Macaca mulatta: one gene and its partner. The protein of the gene in region 1 interacts with the protein of each later gene in a pairwise test. Links are inferred from orthologs where the notes say so. Each region holds a gene or a part of one and is shown in the gene's direction. Other genes may lie near its edges.

Evidence for each region.
Region 2: the proteins of BBLN (region 1) and THAP11 interact in a two-hybrid assay, tested with the Homo sapiens proteins (2 studies listed by BioGRID and IntAct). The link is inferred for Macaca mulatta from reciprocal best matches to the Homo sapiens genes BBLN and THAP11.

What each region holds. Positions count from the first base shown.
Region 1 is NC_133420.1:19,530,844-19,536,186, reverse strand, and holds the start of BBLN (bublin coiled-coil protein), read left to right. Parts: upstream 1-2,104; 5' UTR 2,105-2,198; coding exon 2,199-2,277; intron 2,278-3,037; exon of another isoform or gene 3,038-5,004; coding exon of another isoform or gene 5,005-5,013; intron 5,014-5,313; exon of another isoform or gene 5,314-5,328; coding exon of another isoform or gene 5,329-5,343. Other genes in the region: CIZ1 (cip1-interacting zinc finger protein), read right to left, coding at 5,005-5,013. UniProt on the Homo sapiens protein: Essential for intermediate filament organization in intestinal cells, interacts with intermediate filament and regulates intestinal lumen morphology.
Region 2 is NC_133425.1:63,412,680-63,417,878, forward strand, and holds THAP11 (THAP domain-containing protein 11), read left to right. Parts: upstream 1-1,786; 5' UTR 1,787-2,809; coding exon 2,810-3,739; 3' UTR 3,740-4,098; intron 4,099-4,186; 3' UTR 4,187-4,434; downstream 4,435-5,199. UniProt on the Homo sapiens protein: Transcription factor, which has both transcriptional activation and repression activities. Also modulates chromatin accessibility.

The sequences.
Region 1 (5,343 bases):
CAGCCTGGGCAACAGAGCGAGACTCTGTCTCAAAACAAACAAACAACAAACAAACAAAAGTAGGTCTGCTCCAGGCCAAACTTTCTTTTTTTTTTTTTTTTTGGAAACGGAGTTTCTCTTTGTTGTCCAGGCTGGAGTGCAGTGGTGCAATCTCAGCTCACTGCAACCTCTGCCTCCCGGGTTCAAGTGATTCTCCTGCCTCAGCCTCCTGAGTAGCTGGGATTACAGGCGCACGCCACCACACCTGGTTTATTTTTGTATTTTTAGTAGAAATGGGGTTTCGCCATGTTGGTCAGGCTGGTCTCAAACTCCTGACCTCGTGATCCGCCTGCCTCAGCCTCCCAAAGTGCTGAGATTACAGGCATGAGCCACTGCACCCGGCCTCACATTTAATTTTTTTTATTTTTATTTTTTGAGATGAAGTATCACCCTGTCACCCAGGCTGGAGTGCAAGGGCACGATCTCTGGTCACTGCAACTTCTGCCTCCCAGTTCAAGTGATTCTCCTGCCTCAGCCTCCTGAGTAGCTGCAACTATAGGGGTGTGCCACCAAACCTGGCTAATTAAACTTTTTAAAAATTAATTAATTATTATTTTTAAAGACAGAGTCTCACTCTGTCACCCAGGCTATAGTGCAGTGGTGCAGTCATAGCTCACTGCAGCCTCGAACTCCTGGGCCCAAGTGATCCTCCTGCCTTAGCCTCCCAAGCAGCTGCGACTAAGGTGCATGCCACCAGGTCTGGCTAATTTTTTTTGTACTTTCTGTAGAGATGGGGGACTGAGTCTCACTATGTTTCCCAGGCTGGTCTCCAACTCCTAGGCTCAAGCAATCCTCTCATCTCAGCCTCCCAAAGCGCTGGGATTACAGGTGGGAGCCATCCCGCCTAATGTTCCTGTTTCTCTTGTCCAGAGCTGGAGTCCAGCCTGATTCCCACCCACAGGTTGTAAGCAATGAGCCCTAAGAGAAGCGCTGGCTGGCTGGGCGCGGTGGCTCACGCCTGTAATCCCAGCACTTTGGGAGGCCGAGACGGGCGGATCACGAGGTCAGGAGATCGAGACCATCCTGGCTAGCACAGTGAAACCCCGTCTCTACTAAAAAATACAAAAAAATTAGCCGGGCGAGGTGGCGGGCGCCTGTAGTCCCAGCTACTCGGGAGGCTGAGGCAGGAGAATGGCGTGAACCTGGGAGGCGGAGCTTGCAGTGAGCTGAGATCCGGCCACTGTACTCCAGCCTGGGCGACAGAGCGAGACTCCGTCTCAAAAAAAAAAAAAAAAAAAAAAAAAGAAGCGCTGGAGACCAGGAAGGCCCAGATCCAGGGGTAGGGGTGTTGGGTGTTCTCCATTGGGGTGCAGGCAGAGAGGCGAGGAGGAAGGAGACCCTTCGTGACTCTCAGCGAGGCTGTGAAGAGGAATGTCCTGAAGCCACAGGAGGTATGGAAACCCCGTTTCCAAGGCTGGGCCCAGTAGCTCATGCCGGTAACCCCAGCATTTTGGGAGGCCGAGGCGGGTGGATGGCTCGAGCTCAGGAGTTCGAGAGCAGCCTGGGCAACATGGCGAAACCCCCGTCTCCAAAAAATACAATAGCCAGCGTGGTGCACCCGCCTGTAGTCCAGCCACTCTGGAGGCTGAGGTGGCAGGATCGCTTCAGGCTGGGAGACAGAGGTTGCAGTGAGCCGAGATCACCCCACTGCATTCCAGCCTGGAAGACAGAGCCAGACCCTATCTCAAAAAATAACAAGGAAACCCGTTTTCGATTTCGCCCAGGCGGAGGGGTCGAAGCAGCAGATGGGCTTGGGAGGTCTCCCGCCCCTCCTCCTGGACCTCCCTACTCCTGGGCTTTTCCAGGGACAGCACCGTGGTGGCCCCGCCCAGCGCCCAGGAGACGGGTGAAGCCAGCGGCGGAATGGGCGGAGTTCGACTGTGAGGCAGGTGGAGGTGAGACTCCGGCGGTGGGGGCGGAGTCTGGACGCGGGGCGGGGGCGGAGTTCCGGCTGGGGGGCGGGGCGGGGCGGAGCGAGATCTGCGGGATTCCGGCTTCAGGGGTGGGGCCCCGGCCTCTGGGCGGAGATCTGCTGCCGCGTTCCACCCTTCCGGCCCGGTGTTCTATCCACCGCCTCCACCTTCCATCCGGCGCCGGCTTTCGGCGCGACGGTCGCCGCGTTCCATCGTCGCGCGGCCCTTCGGGCGCCCGAGCCCGCAATGTCGGGCCCCAACGGGGACCTGGGGATGCCGGTGGAGGCGGGAGCGGAAGGCGAGGAGGATGGCTTCGGGGAAGCAGGTGACCCGAGGGGGCTGCTGGAGCAACCTTGCTTTTTCAGGGCTGCCCTCCCGGGAAGGGGAATCGGGATGGGGTCTTGGAAGGGAACAAAGAACCCACCCCATTCCGCCCCGAGTGGGTCCGGAGTTGTAGGTGCTGTCTCGGATGCAGGGCGAGCACCCGCGAGCCGGTCGCCAGCTCCGTGAGAGCTGCGGGTCACCAGTCCCCTTTTACAGATGGGGAAATTGAGGCACCTTCGGGGACACTCGCCCTTGTGGGCCTTGCTCCACCACTTCCTTCAGTCCTGGGGGGAGGCCGAGGCACCTGAGGCAGGGTTGAGCTTGGCCGGCTTGGCTTAGCGGAGAGGCCGGGCTGGGGCGTGGGGTTGGGGGGGCGCGGGGGCGTCGCTCTGCCGAGTCAGCATCCCCAGCCACTTGGCTTTGCTGGTGTAGCCTCGCAGCCTTGCCAAATGTCAGCAGCTTACAGAGCAGCCTTTTGCGTGCTTACAAGTGCAGGGGTGGGGTGTGGAGAGAGAACCATCAGCTCCCTTCTCACATTCTTCAGCCTCAGTTTCCCCCTCTATAAAATAGGAATAATGATTAGTGTCTCCTGCACCGGGATGTGTCAGCATTAAATACAAAAAATAAATGGGAAATGCTTAGCAGGTTCTAGCATGCAAGAGTTCAGTAAATGGTTATTGTCATTATTCTCTTTGGTAAAGATTGGCATGTTAACATACACTGAGGATTTAGTAAATGTGGTGTAAGTATGGCGCATGCTCTTTGTTTTGTTTGGGGTAACAGCTTTATTGAGCTATACAACTTACCCATTTAAACTGTACAGTTCAGTGGGCTTTTGTGTATTCCCAGGGCTGTGCATCCATCACCACAATAGTTTTAGGTAGGTTTGCATTGGGCAATGCTGTTGGGAGCATCAGGAAGAGCTTCCCAGGAGGTCACATTGAGTGGATGCTGGCAGACAGGACTTAGGACAGTGGTGTCCCAGGCAGAAGCAAAGGCTTGGAACTGGGAAGTACCCTTGACACAGATAAAGCCTGGCCTGGAGGGGTGTGGGGCACCTGCCTCCCCAATTCCTCCTCCCAGCCTGTATCCCAGGACACAGAATTCAAAATATTGATAATAATGATCATCCACTAAGTACTTGCTGTGGCCAGATCCTGTCTGAACTCTTTTTTTTTGAGTTGGAGTCTTGTTCTGTTGCCCAGGCTGGAGTACAGTGCATGATCCTGGCTCACTGCAACCTCTGCCTTCTGGGTTCAAGCGATTTTCATGTCTCAGCCTCCCAAGTAGCTGGGACTATAAGTGACCACCACGCCTGGCTATTTTTTTTTTTTTTTTTTTTTTGAGACGGAGTCTCGCTCTGTCGCCCAGGCTGGAATGCAGTGGCCGGATCTCAGCTCACTGCAAGCTCTGCCTCCTGGGTTTACGCCACTCTCCTGCCTCAGCCTCCCGAGTAGCTGGGACTACAGGCACCCGCCACCTTGCCTGGCTAGCTTTTTGTATTTTTTAGTAGAGACGGGGTTTCACCGTGTTAGCCAGGATGGTCTCGATCTCTTGACCTCGTGATCTGCCCGTTTTGGCCTCCCAAAGTGCTGGGATTACAGGATTTTTATATATTTTTAGTAGAGACAGTGTTTCACCATGTTGGCCAGGCTGGTCTCGAACTCCTGACCTCAGGTAATCCACCCGCCTTGGCTTCCCAAAATGCTGGGATTACAGGCGTGAGCCACCACGCTGGCCACTGTCTGAACTCTTGATATGTTTGAATCCTCACGACCACCCAGTTTTCCCTTTTTTCCAGAAAGGTGCAACAACTTGCTGGGGTAAAGCAGAGCTGGAATTCAAACCCAAGTGCCCCTGACCTCCAAGTCCAATCCTGAGTTTCAACTCTGTTACCAACCTGGAGGATCCTGGGCAGGTTCCTTCGGAGGCCTTGGTTTCCCTAGCTATATACCACGAGGGGGTTGGACTTTAAGATGCAGCCAATTTCCCAGGACTCTGTCCTCTGTGAGGGTGGCTGGGAATGGGTGCCCTTTCCCAGAACACAGGCACAAGTGCACCCATAACCCAGATAGGCTCCTCCAGCTCCTCCACTGGCTGCTTCCCTCTTGGTCTCAAGCTGGCAGCTGAGTGTATCTGAGTCATGGGCTGGCTCAGAACTGGGTCCCGCAGTGGGCACAGGCCCAGACCTTGAGTCCTCAGGGACACTGTGTTGCTGAGCAAGGCAGCTCTGGAGTGGCCGTGGAGGGGAGGGAGTGATGGTTTCTAGTGGAGATCAGGGAAGACTTCTTGGAGGAGGCATTTTGAGCTGGTCCTTGATGGGCTGTTGTGGTTGAGGCATTCTAGGTTGCAGGGATAGTTGAGCAATGGCGGAGAGGCTGGAAAGTCAGAGGCTTCATTCATTCACTCACTCAGTCATTCAACAAATGCTTATTGCAAAACTGTGAGGGTGCCAGGGAGCCAGCAGCGAACACAGGACCATTCAGCTTTCATGGGGAAACAGAACAGCACTCAGATAAGCACAGCAGTCAATCCTGGAGAGGGTCGTGGAGGGCTGAGGAGGGCTAGGGGCTCAGCATAGAGGCCTGATCCAGTCTGGGGCATTGGGTGGGCTCCCGGTGGTGACATCCATACTGAGACTTGAAGGATGAGTGGGACTCATCCAGGAGGAGAGGAGGGAAGGAAGATGGGAGGACCCAGCACATTCCAGGCAGAGACAGCAGCATGTTCAAAGGGCCTGAGGTAGGTAAAGGCAGGTGTGAGAGAGGAAAGGAAGAGGCAGGGAGGCAGGGCTAGCTAGGAGGCAGGGGCTGGGAGACTCCGCTGGGTGTTTTACCCTGAGGGAGCCACAGAAGGGCTGGCAAACAGGGCCCATCTGGGGACAGGGGCCTTGAATGCCCAACTCAGGAATGTGGGCTCTGGCCACTAAGCAGCTGCTGCAGAAAGTGCAGAGACTTGGCACCTGGCCGGACTTCCATGTAGGACACTGGCTTGCCACCCTGTGACCACCCTAACCCTAGAAAAAAGGATGCAGTACTCAGGTGTCATTCATTCAAAGCCATTCCTC
Region 2 (5,199 bases), on another chromosome or scaffold:
AATACATAAATAAACATGTAATATGTGTGTTCATGTTTATACTCTTGTATAAATGATTCGCCTAAATGAATGCATATGTTTTACCAGGGGCTACACATAGTAGAGAATGCATTTCTGGATTTTTTCTGGATTTCTGGATCTATATTTTTAGTAGAGACAGAGTTTCATAATGTCGGCCAGACTGGTCTCGAACTCCTGACCTCAAGTAATCCGCCTGCTATGGCCTCCCAAAGTGCTGGGATTACAGTCCTGAGACACCAAGCACAGCTTTTTTTTTTTTTTTTTTTGAGACAGAGTCTCGCACTGTCACCTGGGCTGGAGTGCAGTGGTGTGATCTCGGCTCACTGCAACCTCGACCTCCTAGGTTCAAGCAATTCTCCTGCCTCAGCCTCTCGAGTAGTTGGGATTACAGGTGCCCGAGACAACGCCCGGCTAATTTTTTTGTATTTTTAGTAGAGACGGAGTTTCACTATATCAGCCAGGCTGGTCTCGAATTCCTGACCTCGTGATCCGCCCGCCACGGCCTCCCAAAATGCTGGGATTACAGGCGTGAGCCACCGCATCCGGCCCTATTTTGTTTTTATGTCAAATACTATAATTAGAAATAATGTATATTAGGTTTCCATTTCATGCCTGTGACCTGCTACCAGGAGAGAAAAAATGAGGAGTGAGAGTTAGGTGAAAGGGTAAAGAAAGACAAGAAAAATTGGGAGGAGACCAAGATCATGTCTTTTGTGGGAATATGGATGGAGCTGGGGGCCGTTATCCTTAGCAAACTAATGAAGGAACAGAAAACCAAATACCACATATTCTCACAAGTGTGAGTTAAATGATGAGAACTCATGAACACAAAGAAGGGAACAACAGACACTGGGGTCTACTTGAGGGAGGGGGGTGGGAGGAGAGAGAGGAGCAGAAAAGATAACTATTGGGTACTGGGCTTAATACCTGGGTGATGAAATAATCTGTACAACAAATCGCAGTGACACGACTTCTCCTATGCAATACATCTTCACACGTACCCCCGAACCAAAAATAAGTTTTTAAAAAATTGGGAGAAGGAAGAACTCGGCAGAGGAGGGCTAGTTTGCAGGTAATTCCCCTGAAGGACTGCCTGGCCCCTCCCTGGCTTTCCACAACATTTTGTGTTCTTTAAAACATTTTCCCCCGGCCAGGCGCTGTGATACTAGCTCACGCCTGTAATCCTAGCACCTTGGGAGGCCGAGGCGGGCGGATTGCCTGAGCGCAGGAGTTCGAGACCAGCCTGGGAAACATGGTGAAACCACTTCTCTACTGAAAAAAAAAAAAAAAAAAAAATTAGCCGGGCATGGCGGCGTGCACCTGTCGTCCCAGCTACTCGTGAGGCTGAGGCAGGAGAATTGCTTGAACCCAGGAGGCGGACGTTGCTGTGAGCCGAGATCTCACCACTGCACTCCAACCTGGCGACAGAGTGAGACTCCTTTACACACACACACAAAAATTTCCCTCAAATAAGTTGAGATGGGGGGAGGTGTATTGTTACAATGCAAATCCTTTCGCATTAAATCCTTTAATAGCTCTCAGTGTGGCCTGCAGAATAAAACCCCAAATCCTTAACATGTCCCAGTTTGGTATTTTCCTACGCTTGGTCTACCTGGGCCACCCCCTTCCAGGTTCTTTAAGGGGGGAGCCTAGCTCTTTTCTGCCATGTGGCCTTACAGACTGGTTCCCGGGACACGAACTGGGTACTTCTCCCTACCCAAGCTTTCGTTCTTTATTCCTGGCCACCCCCTCCCCCGCTTCCATTTCTCTGCTCTCCTGTTCATTCCTTTAGAGCGATTACTTTCTGTGAGTAGACATCCATTCGCGTGCATTCAGATCTATTATCCAAAAGACAGAGGCTCATCCGTCTAGGCAGTCAGGCTCCAAGAGAGGAGCCCAGTCGGTCTGACTCCCGGAAACTCCGTGCACTGGGTCAGCCACATAGTAGGCGTCTACTGGAGACTTTGTTTAGGTCAGGGAGTCAACGCAGGCAGCAGCTGAATCAGGAGAGAGTCCCCAACGCAGACAAAGGGGCTCCTGAGACCCTTCGGGGCGCCGAGGCCCAGGTTTCGTCTCCCTCTGCTGCAGCAATGCCGTCGACTCAAAGGCGCTCAGGGATGGGGGACTGGTTCTGGCAAACAGCACAACCTCCCCCGAATACTGGTCCGCAGTAACTCGATCTTTCCCTTAGGCGGCGCTTCGGGTCGCAGGCGCCCAGTTCAGGGCGAGGCATCACGGGATTTGTAGTCTCCGTGGGCATATACCCACCACGCTTGCGCACCGGTGAGGCGCGCACCGCCCCTCTCCACGCCCCTATCAGGATTCGGGTCCTCGTAAGGAGCAGTCCAGGCGACAGCGTTCCAACCTAATACGCCTCTCTCGCCCGCCGGGGACAAGCCGGGCTGGAGAAAGAATCCGATCTTCGGAAGCTGGCGCCGTGCCTTGGAAGGCGGCCGGAATCCGCACACACCCGCCCCGGAAGTGAGCGGCTCCTGGCGCGGGGCATTGTGGGGGGCGTAGTCTCTTTCTCAGGCGGTCCTTCGCGGCGTCCCCGGGGCCGACTCCCGAGCGCAGGCGGGCAGCCAGGCGGGCGGCGCGGCGCGGGCCGGCAGGAAGCGTATTCTGGGCACGGGGCGCCGGGCGGGCCGGCTGCGCCGAGCGGCAGTGGTGGGATACCACCCAAGGCCTCGCGCGGCGCCGCCCGTCGAGGGGCGGGCGGCGGCGGAGCCACTGGGCCGTCGAAGGGCGCAGGAGGCCGGTGGGCCGGGCCGGGCCGCGCGGTGCAGCCATGCCTGGCTTTACGTGCTGCGTGCCAGGCTGCTACAACAACTCGCACCGAGACAAGGCGCTGCACTTCTACACGTTTCCAAAGGACGCTGAGTTGCGGCGCCTCTGGCTCAAGAACGTGTCGCGTGCCGGCGTCAGTGGGTGCTTCTCCACCTTCCAGCCCACCACAGGCCACCGTCTCTGCAGCGTTCACTTCCAGGGCGGCCGCAAGACCTACACGGTACGCGTCCCCACCATCTTCCCGCTGCGCGGCGTCAATGAGCGCAAAGTAGCGCGCAGACCCGCTGGGGCCGCGGCCGCCCGCCGCAGGCAGCAGCAGCAGCAGCAGCAGCAGCAACAACAACAACAACAACAGCAGCAGCAGCAGCAGCAACAGCAGCAGCCGTCACCCTCTGCCTCCACTGCCCAGACTTCCCAGCTGCAGCCGAACCTGGTGTCTGCTTCCGCGGCCGTGCTTCTTACCCTTCAGGCCGCTGTAGACAGCAGTCAGGCTCCGGGATCCGTGCCGCCGACGCCCATCACTCCCACTGGAGAAGACGTGAAGCCCATCGATCTTACAGTGCAAGTTGAGTTTGCAGCCACAGAGGGCGCAGCCGCTGCGGCCGCCGCGTCGGAGTTACAGGCTGCTACCGCAGGGCTGGAGGCTGCCGAGTGCCCTATGGGCCCCCAGTTGGTGGTGGTAGGAGAAGAGGGTTTCCCTGATACTGGCTCCGACCATTCGTACTCCTTGTCGTCAGGCACCACGGAGGAGGAGCTCCTGCGCAAGCTGAATGAGCAGCGGGACATCCTGGCGCTGATGGAAGTGAAGATGAAAGAGATGAAAGGCAGCATTCGCCATCTGCGTCTCACCGAGGCCAAGCTTCGCGAAGAACTGCGCGAGAAGGATCGGCTGCTTGCCATGGCTGTCATCCGCAAGAAGCACGGAATGTGAACTGGTGCCCCGGCGGCCTGCTGGACTCCCAGACCCCATCCAGCCAGGGGACTGCAGGCCATTGTTGAACTCCTCTATACTCCTGGGGCACTGGTTGACAGTACTGAGGCTTAAGGCAGCTGGACTCTCTTGCTGGTGACCTGGCATCCTCAACTGTTTCCTCCTGAAGTGGAAGCTGGGGCCTTAGACTCTGCCCTGGTGACACCAGCAATTATGACTTTGTCTACCCTTCTTCCCCAGTTATTGTTGCAGATTCTGGTTAAGCAGAGGCTTCAGAACCACTGAACTTGAAACTTACCCTCTAGGGATGCAGGTGATATGTCCAGGGACTATGAGTTTGGAATAAACCATACCTTAAGGTTGGTCAGCAGTCAGACAACTCTAATGTGTGTAGTGATAAGAGATGCAAGTAACATCAGCTCTCCTTTTCATGCTTTTCCTTCCCAGGTGCAGCCTGTGATTCTGATGGGGACTGGTAAATCTGTGCCTCTGCCTCCTAGGATTTATTTTCCCAGGAGACCATTTACAAGGGGATCTGGATGACCTGCTGATGGAGATCCAGCTTGCCAGGGATTTAGGTTTATCCTGTTTTGTTTGCTACTGGTTACAAATTCTATTTTCTGTACAATTAGTCAGACTAAAGTTTTCACTGTGTTTGTTTGGCAAAACAAATTAAACAAAAAGTAAGGTTTTTATTTGGGTCTCGCCATTTTATTTTTACAAAAACATAGTTAAATGTCCTTGAAACATGGGGAAATAGGCCTCAGCCTATTTGAAGGACCAGGCTGACCCTGAAAGTAGAGATGCTTCAGTGACCAGGTTTTTCCAAAAATGGACCCTAAGCACATGGATCCTGGCCTTACAAGGTCCTCACAGAGTTCCTGGCCCAGCTCACCCTAAAGAGTTTGGAAACTGCACCAAATGGGCCCAGTTTGTCCGTGGGTTATCTCCCTGTATCCTTTCAACAAGGACCAACTGCTAACTAAACTATATTGTGATAGTTCGCCTCTGAGGGTTTTGAATTCTCAGCTGGGATTGAATTTTGCTCACCATGACATCCCTTAGGCTTAGCACAGCCTCTGGTATGCATGTGCATGCAGTTACTCTACGAACCAGTAAGACCACAGCTGGAGCTAGCCAAAGCTGCTTCAGGCACAAGGACTCTTGTATAGATACCTTGGCCTTGGTACACCTTTGGTGTGACAGATCTGTATCCACAGGGGGCATTAAGAAGTTGGGAGGTGTGATCCCTTGACTCATTTTCTTGGCTGCCTCTATTTTTTTTTCCTTTTTTTTTTTTTTGAGATGGAGCTTTGCTCATGTTGCCCAGGCTGGAGTGCAATGGTATGATCTCAGCTCACTGCAACCTCTGCCTCCTGGGTTCACGCGATTCTCCTGCCTCACCCTCCCAAGTAGCTGGGATTACAGGCGCCGGCCACCACATCTGGCTGATTTTTGTA